Ovis aries: one gene and its partners. The protein of the gene in region 1 purifies or fractionates together with the protein of each later gene. This does not show direct contact. Links are inferred from orthologs where the notes say so. Each region holds a gene or a part of one and is shown in the gene's direction. Other genes may lie near its edges.

What was found. Proteins that work in one complex are often made in the same cells at the same time.
Region 2: the proteins of DHX9 (region 1) and PRMT1 purify together in Homo sapiens (affinity purification with mass spectrometry; 3 studies listed by BioGRID and IntAct, with this or other methods). This does not show direct contact. The link is inferred for Ovis aries from reciprocal best matches to the Homo sapiens genes DHX9 and PRMT1.
Region 3: the proteins of DHX9 (region 1) and RALY purify together in Homo sapiens (affinity purification with mass spectrometry; 3 studies listed by BioGRID and IntAct, with this or other methods). This does not show direct contact. The link is inferred for Ovis aries from reciprocal best matches to the Homo sapiens genes DHX9 and RALY.

What each region holds. Positions count from the first base shown.
Region 1 is NC_056065.1:63,347,474-63,352,302, forward strand, and holds part of DHX9 (ATP-dependent RNA helicase A), read left to right. Parts: intron 1-867; 5' UTR 868-889; coding exon 890-1,000; intron 1,001-1,797; coding exon 1,798-1,938; intron 1,939-4,829. UniProt on the Homo sapiens protein: Multifunctional ATP-dependent nucleic acid helicase that unwinds DNA and RNA in a 3' to 5' direction and that plays important roles in many processes, such as DNA replication, transcriptional activation, post-transcriptional RNA regulation, mRNA translation and RNA-mediated gene silencing.
Region 2 is NC_056067.1:55,813,649-55,818,477, forward strand, and holds part of PRMT1 (protein arginine N-methyltransferase 1), read left to right. Parts: intron 1-113; exon of another isoform or gene 114-115; coding exon 116-169; exon of another isoform or gene 170-173; intron 174-367; exon of another isoform or gene 368-480; coding exon of another isoform or gene 481-483; intron 484-706; coding exon 707-808; intron 809-1,574; coding exon 1,575-1,730; intron 1,731-1,874; coding exon 1,875-1,938; intron 1,939-3,676; coding exon 3,677-3,819; intron 3,820-4,567; coding exon 4,568-4,655; intron 4,656-4,743; coding exon 4,744-4,829. UniProt on the Homo sapiens protein: Arginine methyltransferase that methylates (mono and asymmetric dimethylation) the guanidino nitrogens of arginyl residues present in proteins such as ESR1, histone H2, H3 and H4, FMR1, ILF3, HNRNPA1, HNRNPD, NFATC2IP, SUPT5H, TAF15, EWS, HABP4, SERBP1, RBM15, FOXO1, CHTOP, MAP3K5/ASK1, MICU1 and NPRL2.
Region 3 is NC_056066.1:63,432,414-63,437,242, forward strand, and holds part of RALY (RNA-binding protein Raly), read left to right. Parts: 5' UTR 1-1,711; coding exon 1,712-1,834; intron 1,835-4,829. UniProt on the Homo sapiens protein: RNA-binding protein that acts as a transcriptional cofactor for cholesterol biosynthetic genes in the liver. Binds the lipid-responsive non-coding RNA LeXis and is required for LeXis-mediated effect on cholesterogenesis.

The sequences.
Region 1 (4,829 bases):
CTGGTTCTAAATTTAGTCCCAGATACTTAGCTAGTAATTTAAATTCAGATTTTAGACCTAGGCTGAATATCTTTTGCTATCTTATAGAGGGAGTAGAGGGAGAATGCTAACAAGTGCAATATGTTGTTTTTCAAGAAGATGTAATATTTCCAAATTTTAATGAATATCAAGGCCTAAAGATTTGGTATAATATATTTAGGTTCATTAATTATTTTAAGTACTGATTAATTTATGTATTTGGACTTACTAACAATATATTGCTTGCAGCTTTGAGGACCGTCTGCTAGGAGACAGTGCGAATGAGGGTAAACTATTGGATTTATATACGAAATAATTGATGACCATTTCTTAATATAGTAGTTTGGGTTTGAACTTGGGCCTCCACAGTGGATAACTTGGAAGTTACCTATCTATGCCAAAGTTTCTTCCCTTGTAAAACGGTGATATAGTAGGATCTATCATGTGTACCTCCCACAGTTGTGAGGATTAGATAAAACACATAAAGTACCTCTTGTAAAAAGGAGATTACATAAAGTCTCTTTTAAGAAAAGGTAAAAATCACATATAGTTACCTAAAAATAACCATTTGTGGGGGATAGTTGTTTTCCAGTCTTGATTTATTTATGCATACTTCTTGCGTAGTACAAACTATAGTATTCTGCTTTTCTTCTTTTTAAACAAAATGTGATAGATGGTCCAGTTTCATCATTAACATTTCTTAATAGGCAATGTTAATAGCAGCATGATAGAATATCCTGTGCTTAACATAGATTTTCAGTAAATTTCAGCCATTGGATATTTCCAGATTGGTAATTTCCACTGTTTACTTTTATAAATAATGCTGTTTTTAACTAACTTGTTTCTTAGGTCTGAAGAAGACACTTGAATCATGGGTGATGTTAAAAATTTCCTGTATGCCTGGTGTGGCAAAAGGAAGATGACCCCAGCATATGAAATCAGAGCAGTGGGGAACAAAAACAGACAGAAATTCATGTGTGAGGTATTAAAAAAAATACATTTTGCATTTATGTGACTTTAAGGCTTATTTTATTAAAAGAATAATGTTTTCTGTTTGGAAATGTTAATGTGTTGTACATTGGATTATGTCCTTTATTGTGACTTCCCTGCTATTTCTATCATTATAAATCATTTTCAAGTGATATGAAATCAATCATTTAAAAAAAACTTTTGGCTGCACCACACAGCTTTGGGGATCTTAATTCCCTGACCAAGGGTGGACCCGATGTCCCCTGCAGTGATAGCACTGAGTGCTAACCACTGGACAGCCAGGGAATTCCCTGAGCGTTACTTTTAAAACATCGTGGTAGGTAAATTATTCTAATTAAAACAATGTGTCTTTCACACTTTATGCACTACCAGTAATGCAGACTAGAAAAATTGGATTAACTTTGTCTGTAGTTAGTTACTAATTCCAGTAGAAAGTAGGTGCATTCTTAACTGCTTCACATCAGAGAGCTTTAAAATAAGTACGGCTAGTTTATTCTTTGGTCTTGTAAAATCAGATTTTAATGTGGAACTTAATGTTGTATTAGAAGAAATTATATGAGCCACATAAGTTAACATTCTTGCTTTTGGATTAGTTTATCACTGGACAGTATGAATTAAGCACTTTTTTATAAGATAGCATGTGAATTCTCTTAGGTATGTTATTTTCACTATGTTTATAAAGTATATCTCCAATAATTAACTGTAATCCCTTAATGGTCTAGTAAAGTATGAATTTTTTAAATCCCAAAATTACCCAGGTCACTCTCTCAATATATTTTTTTCTTGAAGGTTCGAGTGGAAGGATATAATTACACTGGCATGGGTAATTCCACCAATAAAAAAGATGCACAGAGCAATGCTGCCAGAGACTTTGTTAACTATTTGGTTCGAATAAATGAACTAAAGAGTGAAGAAGTCCCAGCTATTGGGGTAAGTATGGCCAAACAACTTGAGACGTATAAGATTATGCTAATCCAGTATGTATGGAGGCTCAGGGTGATAGTTTTTCAGTGTTGTTTTTAAATAGTATATTAATATGTTCCTTAGTGAACCTTGGGGGTGATTTGTTTTCTCAGAGAACTGGGATAATTTCCTAAAGATTTGGATTTCATTTTCATTATGTACCTGACTTGGGGATTCCCTTTAGTCGGTATGTCTTAGGGTTTTACATATTGTATTCATTCAAAACTGATTTTTCAGAGTCTGTTGTATTCTGTGTACTTCAAAAATAACATTTTAAACAGAATATAAAAATCAGTAACATTTTAAAATACATTTGCTCCCATTGACATTTTCTTAGCAGAGTTAAAATAGTATTTGGTACAGTAGAATATCATTCTTGTGTTTTTTATACCATAATTATTTTTAATTATATTGTGTGTATGCAGCAAAAGTTTTGAAAAATAAACTAAAAAGTGAAAGTTTGAATTTTCACAAAAATAGTGGTATTGCTGATGTTTTTAGAAAGTTGTATTATGAAAAAAATCACATTATGATTTAAGCAGATGCCTTAGGTATTACATGAAAGATCCAGTTTTTATAAAACCTTTAGGAATAACATTAATTTCAGCACCCTTCAATGGGTTTTTGTATTCTGACTTGCTTAGAAAGGTAAAAATACATGTTTTTTACCTTTCCATTGCATTTACCCAGGAATTGAGTTTACTTTCTAGTATGGTGTACCACTATATAATTACAAGATTTTTAATTAGTTTGGTTGAGCCATCTGTAAAATGAAAAGATTGGACAAGACGACCTTGATTCTTTTTCAGATATTTGACCCACTGGCCTTTGTTCCATGTGTTACGACCTATTCTAGTTGTGTGTTTTGGTTTTATATTTTTAAGCCTCTTCCTAGGTCTGTTGGTGGCAAACTCTTCCATCTCTTTTATGTAAAAATGTTTTTATTTTACCTTGAATAGAAGATTCAACGCAATTCTGAGGTGCCGGTTTTCTTCTAAGACTTCAAAGATCATGTTGCACTGTTGTCTAACTTCCGTTGTTGTCTGATGAGAAGTGGGCAGTAATCCAATCATTTCTGCCTATATATGTTTCCTTTGGTTGCTTTGTTTTTTTCTTTGGTTTCCAGTAGCTTGGCTGTGATGTTTTCTTTGTACTCATCCTGCTTGGAGTTTGCTGAAATTCTTGAATCTGTAAATTTATGTCTTTCATCAAATATGGGAAACTTTTGGCTATTTTTTTTTCCCCCAAATATTTCTTAATTTTTTTTTCTTCTTTTTCTGGGACTTTCATGTTAACATATATAAGAAACCTTTTGGAACTATTTTGGAGGTCCTGGACCGTCTTTTTCTCCTCCTTTCTCTGATTTTCAGATTGGATGATTTCATATATATGTTAAAGATAATCAGTATCTTCAAGTTCACTGATTATTTTCTTTGTTGGTTCTGTCAGTTCCTCCCCCCACCGCCCGCCAGATACTATCTTTTCCCCCCCCTAAGTTTATTGCCCCCCCCCCTTTTTTTTTTAAACAGGTTTTGTTTTTCTGGTGGCATTTCTTTTCATCCAGTCAGTATAAGCATACATTCATAATACGACTGAATTTCTTGTATATCATTGAGCATAGTTACAATAGCTGCTTTAAAATTCTTAACTGCTAATTCTAACATCGGGGCCATCTCAGGGTTGGGCTCTGTTGATTGTGCTTTTTTTTTCCTGTAAAAACACTGGTTTTATTATTGAAAAAAAGAAACAAAATCCTGGTGATTTGCAGTATCTATCAGCTTTCAATTTTGGCTCTCCTGTCCAGAAGTGTTTCATGCAAGAATCCATCTTTCCGGGCCTTTTTCAGAATTTTCTGTCGTCTTTCTTATTTTAAGCTTGTGGTCTTGGAAGCTCTGGAATTTTTTTTACATAATTGATTTCACACTGTTTGACGTTTCCTTTGTCTTCTGGAATAGCATCTTTTTTCTTAGTTTCTCTTTCGGTGCAGGATCTGATCTTTATCATTTCTTCTGCCGTTTTACTTTTTGCTTCTATATCACCTGCTTCATTGCATCTAATAAAACAGCTGTTGGAGGCCAGTAAAGCCATTTTCCCATCTTGAAAGACGGGTTCCCACTGCTGTCTAGGTCCAATTGCATCTGAATGCCCAACAACAATTGTGCTTTTGAGATTTTTCCTCTTTGTATGTCAAATGGTTTTGCATTATATTCTGGGCATTGTGACTATTACATTTTGGAAACTAAATGATGTTAGTCTTCCAAAGAGTATTTTGTCATTGTGTTGTCAAGCAGTTAATTGAGATGGACTTAAGCGCCAGCACTGTCTTTTGAGTGATAGTTCAGATCTCACTTCAGTTTTCTGATCCTGTGCTGGGAGGCTTGAAATCTCCTCTGCATATATATAGTTTAAAGGTTAGCCAGAGATTTGGGGAAAGTTTATACACAAGAGTTTGGGATTCCTCTTTTGTTTCCTTTCCAGGATTTCTTTCTTACTTTCTAGCAGCTTTGGTGTCCCCAAATTCTTATCCTTTGATACTTCTGGCCAGAAAGACTGGGTTTTCTATTGAGTTTTAGCTGTCTGAGATGGTCTTCCTAGTAATAAAAGGCATAATAAGCTGGAATTATACTTTCTATTTTTTGCTTTCTCATTTCAAGTTCCTTCTAGAGTTTGCAAGATTTTGTTCACTTTTTAGTGCCTGTGTATAGCTGAGGAGAGTTTTAGGGTTTTTGTTTTTCTGGAGTTCATATTACCTGCAGGAGTTAGTATAGTAGGAGCTACTGTGCCATACCAGAAATAGTATCCTATTTTCAATTTTTTCTTGTTAGAATTGTAACACATTCAGATCTTTTCTGTAAGGC
Region 2 (4,829 bases), on another chromosome or scaffold:
AAAAGCAAAATTGTAGGAAACACCTCCTTCTTGCCCAAGAGCCCGGGTCGCCTGGCCTGGCCCTCCCCTAGCCGCTCCTGGTAGCTAATCCTTTCTCCCTGTTACTCTCTCCTAGAATTTTGTAGCCACCTTGGCTAATGGGATGAGCCTCCAGCCGCCTCTTGAAGAAGTAAATATCCTTTTGTGAGACCCCTTCCCACATACACATTTCCTCACACGTCACGCCCTTTTTAGTGGTCTAACTGATCCCTCTGGCTTCAAACCACTTTACCCTTGGCCCCCGAAACACTTAGTCCAGACTCCGTCCAGGTTTGGGCCCCCACCTGGCCTCTCCCAATACTGTGGCTACTTCCTTAACTCCATTTACAGCCCCCCACCCCACCTTTGTCCTTCCCTGTGTCTGCCCCGCTTCCGCCTTCCTCTCCCCTCCCTTCCCCAGCTGTGGGCTGAGCTAGAGACGGGGGCAGACAGACTGGAGAGATGGTAGGCCTGGCTGAGGTATCGGGGGTGCCCTCCTGGATGGTGCTCTGGGGGTGGGGGGTTCCTGGGCGAGGCAAGACGGCAGGTGGGGGCTGTAGGGTTGCCATGGTACGGTTTGGGGAGTGGTTCTGTATACTCCATGGGGGCGTAGACCTGCCTGGAGGCTTCCGAATCTCTGGGGAGCCCCCAGATGTGACCCCGTTTGCTCCCATTCACCCCCTCCCAGGTCTCCTGTGGCCAGGCAGAAAGCAGCGAGAAGCCCAACGCTGAGGACATGACGTCCAAAGATTACTACTTTGACTCCTATGCTCACTTCGGCATCCACGAGGTGAGTATGGACAGACAGCTCCTGAGGGTGCCGAATCTTCCAGGGGGTCATGTTGGGGAGAGCTGGAGATTCATCTCTGACGCATGCGCACTGCCTTCCCTGGCAGCGGGCCACCCCCTCTGCGCAGGCAGAGCTCACACTCCGGGTCGCCTCGCGCAGCCGTTGCCTGGGAGACGGGGTTAGCCTGGCGCTCTACCAGTCCTCTCCTGGGAGGCCGCGGTGGGAGCGCGCATGTGCATCGCATGTGCATCTGAGACGCATGTGCATCTGAGACGTCAGCCCGAGGTCAGGGCCTACCGGTCTTTGCCGCCCTCTAGTGACCGGCAGCGGCTCGAAAGTCTTCTCCACCCCTTTTGCGTGTGGTGGAGGCTGAGGTCCCAGAAAGCAGCAGGGATGGGGTGGGAAGATTTTTCTCTTTCCTTTTTTAAAATATTGTTATAAAATATGCATAACAAAATTTACCATTTTCACGTGGGCGGTTTAATGGCTTTGGCTTACTGAGGACTTTTTAAAGGCAAGGCTTTACAGGGGGTTAGTCGGCAAGGGTAGAAAATGCCTAAGATGGGATTTTGGTCCATCCAGTCCAATTTCACGTAGGGAAACTGAGGCGTGTGGAAGGGAAATAACTTGTCCTAAGGGGACTAAAGCAGGTTTGAGGACTGAGTGCCAGTCTTCAAGTTGATCAGTGTGTTGGAGGCCAGGACACCCTGGTTTTCAGCAGGGGACGCCAGTCCCCTCATGATCTCTTTGTTCCCACCCCTGCCAGGAAATGCTGAAAGATGAGGTCCGCACCCTCACATACCGCAACTCCATGTTTCACAACCGGCACCTTTTCAAAGACAAGGTGGTGCTGGACGTGGGCTCGGGCACAGGGATCCTCTGCATGTTTGCCGCCAAGGCTGGGGCCCGCAAGGTCATCGGGGTGAGTGTCCTCGGCGGCCGGCCAGGCCTGGGCCTAGGGACGGAAAGGGGGCCCCTTGGGGCTCAGGGATTGGGTGGAGGGGAGTGGGGGTGGAGGGTGGCATTTGGGGGGGGGTCTCACCCTCCCTTCTTCCTGGGCCCCCAGATCGAGTGTTCCAGTATCTCTGATTATGCGGTGAAGATCGTCAAAGCCAACAAGTTAGACCATGGTGAGCCCAGGAAGAGAACGGGGTCTTTGGGGAGGGAGCGGGGGATCCCAGCTTCCCCGGGGCCCCTGGCAAGGGAATGGAGGCCATAGAAGTCAAATTCAGGCGTTCCTCCCCCGGTGGGCTCTGGGCTGCGGACAGCCCAAAAATCCAGCCTTCTCAGAACCTACCTCCTGACAAGCCGTCTTAGAATCTGCATGTCGAAGTCACAAGCTTAGTGCTTCAGTCTTTTATTTAAAAAAACAAAAATTTCAAGAAGCAATCTTGAGTTTTTTCAGTGAGTGATAGAGTCACGTGGTTGGCACATGAGGCCCATAGTAAGAAGTCTGCCACCCGCCTCTCAGCCACTCTTCTCTAAGTGCAGACAGCTCTCTCTCCCAGAGAGGTTCATACCGATGAACAAACGTGTGTGTATGTTTCTGCATTCACATGCTGGTTTTTGACACAGATAATGTTTCATACATGCCCTTTGTGATTTTCACCTGTGTATTATGTAGTTTAACACCTGATAGGATGTTGAGAGGATCTTGCTTTTTGATGACTGCCATCCTCTATTTTCACATACACCAGGTCTGTTAACCAAGTTCCTGGTCATGGGCATTTGAGCTTCCAAGACTTTCATCCCCCACCTGTAATGTCATCATCAATCATATATGAACTAATGTTATCTGTGAGGTCAGTTTGTAAAAGTAGGGTTGCATGGATCAAAAGTGGAAGAAAGTTGGGCAGAAGGTGCCACATTGCCCTTCCCACCTGCAAGGTTTGAGGGGCAGAGGACATGGGAACATGTGGGTTTTTTGATATGAGGGCCCTTGGCATTCTAGAAGCTGAAGGGGTTTTTTTTGAAAAAGAAATTAGTGTAATGAATTCCTAAGTTCCCATCACTGAGCTTTAAATACCTCCTTTTGAAGCAAATTCCGACTATAAATCCTGCCATGTGTGTATCTAATAGATTTTAAAAAATATTTAAAAAAGCATGACCACGGGAATTTCCCGGCAGCCCAGTGGTTAGGACTGCTTTCACTGCTAGGGCCCCACTTCGATCCCCCGTCAGGGAACTAAGATCCCACAAGCTACACAGTGCAGACAGAAAAACAAAACGTGACCGTGGCTGTTAGTGGCAAAATCTCTCTCATTTTTAAAAAAAATTTTACTTTGCTGCGTCAGGTCTTAGTTGCAGCGTGCGGGATCTAGTTCCCTGATGAGGGGTTGAACCCCAGTCCCCTGTCCTGGGAGCATGGACTCTTAGCCACTGGACCACCAGGGAATCCCAAGGCTGACTTCCAGTAGATTTTAGGAAGGGAGCTGCTCTGCCCCGTACAAAACCCTGACCCAGAAGCAGGTCATCTGCAAATGGTTTGGCACCAGGTTCCCCATGAGTGTGCGAGGCGTGACGGGTAAGGGGGTGGCTGCCTTTCCCATTCTGTGTCCTAGAGTGAGGGGCTGTCTGCACCGGGCCCTGGTCCTGCCTGCTAATGGCAAAATCTCAATGTCACCTCATACCTGATTCATGTCAAGTTCTGTTCCTGCCTCAGAAATACCCCTTGATGAATGAATTTTAAAAACTTAAGTTGACAGGGTGTGACTTCAGCTCACAGAGTTCTTTAAAGATGCCCCAACACAGCCCCCAGCCCTTCCTTGAGAAGACAAGGCTGTCCCGGTGGGGTCCCCAGGCCCCCAGGGGAGGCAGGCAGACGGCTGTCCTCAGGGCTGGTGGCATGTGCCCTTGTCTGCCCCGCAGTGGTGACCATCATCAAGGGGAAGGTGGAGGAGGTGGAGCTCCCGGTGGAGAAGGTAGACATCATTATCAGTGAGTGGATGGGCTACTGCCTCTTCTACGAGTCGATGCTCAACACCGTGCTCTACGCCCGGGACAAGTGGCTGGTGAGGCCCCAGCGGGGCGGGAGCGGCTCGTGCAGGCCGGTGTGGGGGTCCAGGCAGAAAAGGGAAGCTGTGCTCCGTACTTCCCACCACGGGGACTGAGTACAGGGCTTGGAAGACATCTACATGGATGTTAGGAGGCCCACGGGCAAGATGGAGGGGGCCCAGTACCGGAAGCTAGACAGGGACAGGGAGATGGTGCTGGAAAAGAACCACAGCAGGCCAGAGGGATTAGGAGGGACTGTGGACCCAGGTGCTGTCAGAGCAGGCCTCCCAGGGAGCTGACCGAGACCTGAACCCCGGACGGGGAGGAGCCACATGGGATCTGAGGGGCAAGGCACACTTAACAGAGGATTTCGGCCAGTGCAAAGGTCCTGGGGCAGCAGCGAGTTCGCTGTGTAGGGAACTTGTAGGGAACCTGCAGCAGAACACGGATCGGGAAGGAAGTTGGAGGTGAGGGGCGGGGGTGGGCCTGTGCAGGTCTCATGGGACCTCGTGGATGTGTAAGACTTTGCCTTACTCCTCAGAGGGGCGAGGTTAGGACGAGATCTGACTTAGATGCTCCTCAGAGCCATCAGGCAGCTATCTGGGGAGTAGACTGAGGCTGGGCACCAGTGAGGAGGCCGAGACAGGAGCCCACCTGGGAAGTGCTGAGCTCAGACCAGGGTGGTGTCAGGGGTGGATAAATAAACAAAATGGGGCAACCTTGCCCAGTCCCCCATCCTTCACGCCCTTGCCCTGCTCCCCGTAGGCACCCGACGGCCTCATCTTCCCAGACCGAGCCACGCTGTACGTGACGGCCATCGAGGACCGGCAGTACAAAGACTACAAGATCCACTGTGAGCTCGCGGCCCGGGGAGCTTACGGGCGGGGGCGGCTGGGTGCCAGCTACCCCTGGGCTCACCCTCCTCCCCGCCTCCTCCCCAGGGTGGGAGAATGTGTACGGCTTCGACATGTCTTGCATCAAAGACGTGGCCATCAAGGAGCCCCTGGTGGATGTGGTGGACCCCAAG
Region 3 (4,829 bases), on another chromosome or scaffold:
GGACATTCTGTTCTTCCCACTGCCCGCCTGAGGGTCCACAGAGGGATCCGTTCCTCCACCTGAGGCTCCTGGAAATCCACTTTGGCCAACCTTCCCTCCTTTTCTAAGTCTCCAGACACTTGGCTGTCATCTCTTTTGTCTTGGTTAATCTAATGTTCTTTAGCTTCTGGCCTTTCCATGGCCTGGGCATCAAGCTTGGATTTTACTGTTCTTATGACAACTGCCCTGCTAAGTAGTTCCATTGTTGATTCTTTTAAAATATGAATGGTTCCATGTAAAAAACTGTATAATATACTGATACTCATATAATAGCTTATTTATCTAACATCCTCAATTTTCCAGAATCCAGCTAAAAAACAAAAGGTAGCAAAGCATTGTTATCCTTAATACCTTGCACAGTGCTAATTTATTCCTGTTTTTATGTTTTGTTGTAACAAGCTTAACAATCTGGTTTCTAAACCCCCAGAAGATTAAGAACAGGGCATATAAAGGGGAGGAGGAGCTGCTATATTAGCAGCAGAGGTGAGAGCTGAAAGCCAACTGTAAGGGAGATATAAAAGAAGAATGATAAGACAGAAAAGTCAAATGGGTATGAAGGCTGTACTTTAAGGGCAACAGCCCTGTAGACATCTGTACACTTCAGTAAGGTAGGGCTAGGTAATTTTTAAGGTAGTTCTTGAAGGCCAGTAGTATCAAAGAATGTTTAATTACTTGCAGTGTCTGCTGTGGTATCAGATGCTATATTGAATGCTCTACATAAATTGATTTTCTTTTCATCACACCTTGAAAGGTAGGTGGTGATATTCTCATTTTATAAATTATAGAGACTTAAGAGAGGGACACACCCGCTCCAGTGTTCTTGCCTGGAGAATCTCAGGGATGGTGGAGCCTGGTGGGCTGCCATCTGTGGGGTCGCAGAGTCGAACACGACTGAAGCGACTTAGCAGCAGCAGCAGCAGAGAGGGACACACAGGCAGTGACTGGAAGAGCTAATAAACTTAGAATTTAAAAGAATCTGGCTCTAAAAAGCCAAGTTTTTTCTATTATTCTACACTAACTCTTCAGCCGAGGCCTAAAACCCCAGTCCTTCTCAGCCTCTTGGGACAGTGGTTCCACCCACCCCACCGGCCCCAACCCTGCCTTTATTCATTCTCTTGAATATGAATGTCTTTTCCTTTTAAAGATATCCATTCATTCAGTGCCTATTTACTGAGTGTCCACTATGTGCCAGGCACAGTTTTAAGTGTTTGAAATGTAGCAGTGAAAATAGTTTTGTCTCCTGTAGCCTAAATTCTAGTGGAATATAAACAAATGAATATGTATGAAGAAAAATAAAGCAGGAAAAGGGAATAGGGAGGGACCATGTGATGAAAGAAGGCCTCCATGAGAAACTAAAATCTGTACAGAAATATGTACAAGATGAAGTAGTATGAGCTGTGTGTATATCTTGGCGAATAACATGCCAGGCATAGAGTTCAGTAACTTTGGAGGCCCTGAAATAGGAGCATGCTTAATGTTTTGAGGAACAAAGGAGACCAGTGTAGCTAGAGATGAATTGAGCAATAGGAGGAGTGGATTATGGAGAAGTCACAAGGGTAGACAAGGACTCGGATCACGTGGGGCTTTATTCTCAGCGAAATAGGAAGCCGCTGGATATTTTTGAGTAGATGAATGACATAATCTAACATCCATTTAAAAAAAATCCCTCTGCATGATTGTATCGGCCAGGACCTCCAATATGTTGAACAGAATTGGTGAAAACAGACACTCTTACCTTGTTCCCAGTTTTAAAGAGAATGGATTCAGTCTTTCTGAGTACTTAAGTGTGATACCAGTAAGTATGATGTTTGCTGCAGGGCTTTTTGGTAGACTTCTATTTATAAGGCTAAGTAAGTTCTCTATTTCTAGTTTATTCAGAGGTTTTATTATGGATGGATGTTGAATTTTGTTTGTTTGTGTGGTTTTTTATCCTCTATTCTACTAACATGGCACTATGATAATTGATTTTGGGATATTAAACCAACATCATTCCTAGAATGAATCCCACTTGGCTATAGTGTATAATCCTTTTTGTATGGTCTTGATTTGGTTTACTAATATTTTGTTGAAGATTTTTGCCTGTATTCATGAGAGATGTCAGTCACTATAGTTTTCTTGTTATATCTTTGGTTTTGGTGTCAGGGTAATACTGGTCTCTTAGGCTGGAGAGTCTTCCCTCTGTTTTCTGGGAGAGTTTGTGAAGGATTGTGATTTCTTTTTTGAATTTTTTAGAAATGTATTTCTTATTTTAATTATTTTTGGCTGCGCTGGGTCTTTGTTGGTGCACTTGGTCTTTGTCTAGTTGTGGTGCACGGGCTTCTTTCTCATTGTGGTGGCTTCTCTCCTTCTGGAGAACGGGCTGTAGGCACCTGGGCTCAATAGTTAAGGCTTATGGGCTTAGTGGCCCTGAGGCATGTGGAATCTTTCTGAACCAGGTACTGAACTCAAGTTTCCTGCATTGACAGGCAGATTCTTAACCGCTGAACAACCAGGGAAGTCTTCATTTTTAAATGTTTGATAGAACAAGCCATGTGGACTTGAACTTTTCTCTGCTGGAAGATTCTTAATTACTAATTCAAAAATTCTCATTGTAGGTCTACTCAGATGTACTGTTTTTTTTTTTTTTCCTTTTGTGTCGTTAATTTGTGTGTGTCTAGGAATTTGTCCCTTTCATCTAAGTTGTTTAATTTTGTGGCTTAAAGTTGTTCATAGTATTGTCCTGTAATCTTTTTTAACTCTAGAAGGTCAGTAGTGATAACCCTTTGAGTAGTGATAACCCTTTTTTCATTCCTGATTTTGGCAATTTGTATTTTCTCTGTTTTTCTCTTGGTCAGCCTTACCGAAGGTTTAATTTTGTTGATTTTTTTCAAAGAACCAGCTTTTGGTTTCATTGTTTTTCTGTTCCACTGATCTCTTACTTTAATATTTGTTTTTCCTAACTTTAGCTTGCTTTGGATTTAGTTTGTTCTTTTTCTAGTTTCTCAAGTCTTCAGTCACTTTTTTAAGGCACTCGCATCCGAAATGAAACTCTTCTTCAGGCATGACTGACCTGCGGACTGTCACATGCTCCTCAGTAGTAGTCTCTGGAGAACTATCTGGAGCTTCAGGGAGGGCCTGACTGAGACACAGTGGAGGAGACAAGTGGTCCACAGTGTTGTGCCACCAGCAGGAAGGGGTCTAGGGCTTGACCCGTGGCACCCTGGATCCTGCCTGCCCCAGGTGCCCCACCACCACCTGAGATTTGTGTGGGTGGGCCTGAGATCCCTTGCCCTCAGACAAAGGGTATGTGCCCCCATGCTGGCTGGGGCAGGCCTAAGATGTGGACAGTTTGGTTGGTGGTGATGTGATACATGGAAAACCAGGCTTTCTCTACTTTCCTAGGAGATTTTGCCTGATACAGAGCTAGAGGAGACCATGGCCCACCTCACAGTCTTCAGAGACAGATGGCTTTGGAGTTCCTGTTAATGACTGAGATTCTAAGCAGAAATTTGATTGCATCAACGATACAAGGCTTAAAGGCAGATACCAAATAAGTACGCTTACAAATAAGGGTACTTATTTGTGCCCTTTAAAAGTTTCCTCAGTGTTCAGTTCAGTTCAGTTGAGTCACTCAGTCCTGTCCAACTCTTTGCGACCCCATGGCCTGCAGCACACCAGGCCTCTCTGTCCATCGCCAACTCCCGGAGTTTACTCAAACTCATGTCCACTGAGTCGGTGATGCCATCCAATCATCTCATCCTCTGTCATCCCCTTCTCCTGCCTTCAGTTTTTCCCAGCATCAGGGTCTTTTCAAATGAGTCAGTTTTTTTTTTCACATCAGATAGCCAAAGTATTGGAGTTTCAGCTTCAACATCAGTCCTTCCAATGAGTACTCAGGACTGATTTCCTTTAGGATTGACTGGTTGGATCTCCTTGCAGTCCAAGGGACTCTCAAGAGTCTTCTCCAACACCACAGTTCAAAAGCATCAATTCTTTGGTGCTCAGCTTTCTTTATAGTCCAACTCTCACATCCATACATGACTACTGGAAAAACCATAGCCTTGACTAGACAGACCTTTGTTGGCAAAGTAATGTCTCTGCTTTTGAATATGCTGTCTAGGTTGGTCATAACTTTCCTTCCAAGGAGTAAGTGTCTTTTAATTTCATGGCTGCAGTCACCATCTGCAGTGATTTTGGAGCCCAGAAAAATAAAGTCAGCCACTGTTTCCCTATCTATTTGCCATGAAGTGATGGGACCAGATGCCATGATCTTAGTTTTCTGAATGTTGAATTTTAAGCCAATTTTTTCACTGTCCTCTTTCACTTTCATCAAGAGGCTCTTTAGTTGTTCTTCACTTTCTGCCATAAGGGTGGTGTCATCTGCATATCTGAGGTTATTGATATTTCTCCTGGCAATCTTGATTCCAGCTTGTGCTTCATCCAGCCCAGCGTTTCTCATGATGTACTCTGCATATACATTAAATAAGCAGGGTGACAATATACAGCCTTGACGTACTCCTTTTCCTATTTGGAACCAGTCTGTTGTGCCATGTCTAGTCCTAACTGTTGCTTCCTGACGTGCATACAGATTTCTCAAGAGGAAGTTCAAGTGGTCTGGGATTCCCATCTCTTGAAGAATTTTCCACAGTTGATTGTGATCCACACAGTCAAAGGCTTTGGCATAGTCAATGAAGCAGAAATAGATGTTTTTCTGGAACTCTCTTGCTTTTTCGATGATCCAGCAGATGTTGGCAATTTGATCTCTGGTTCCTCTGCCTTTTCTAAAACCAGCTTGAACATTTGTAAGTTCA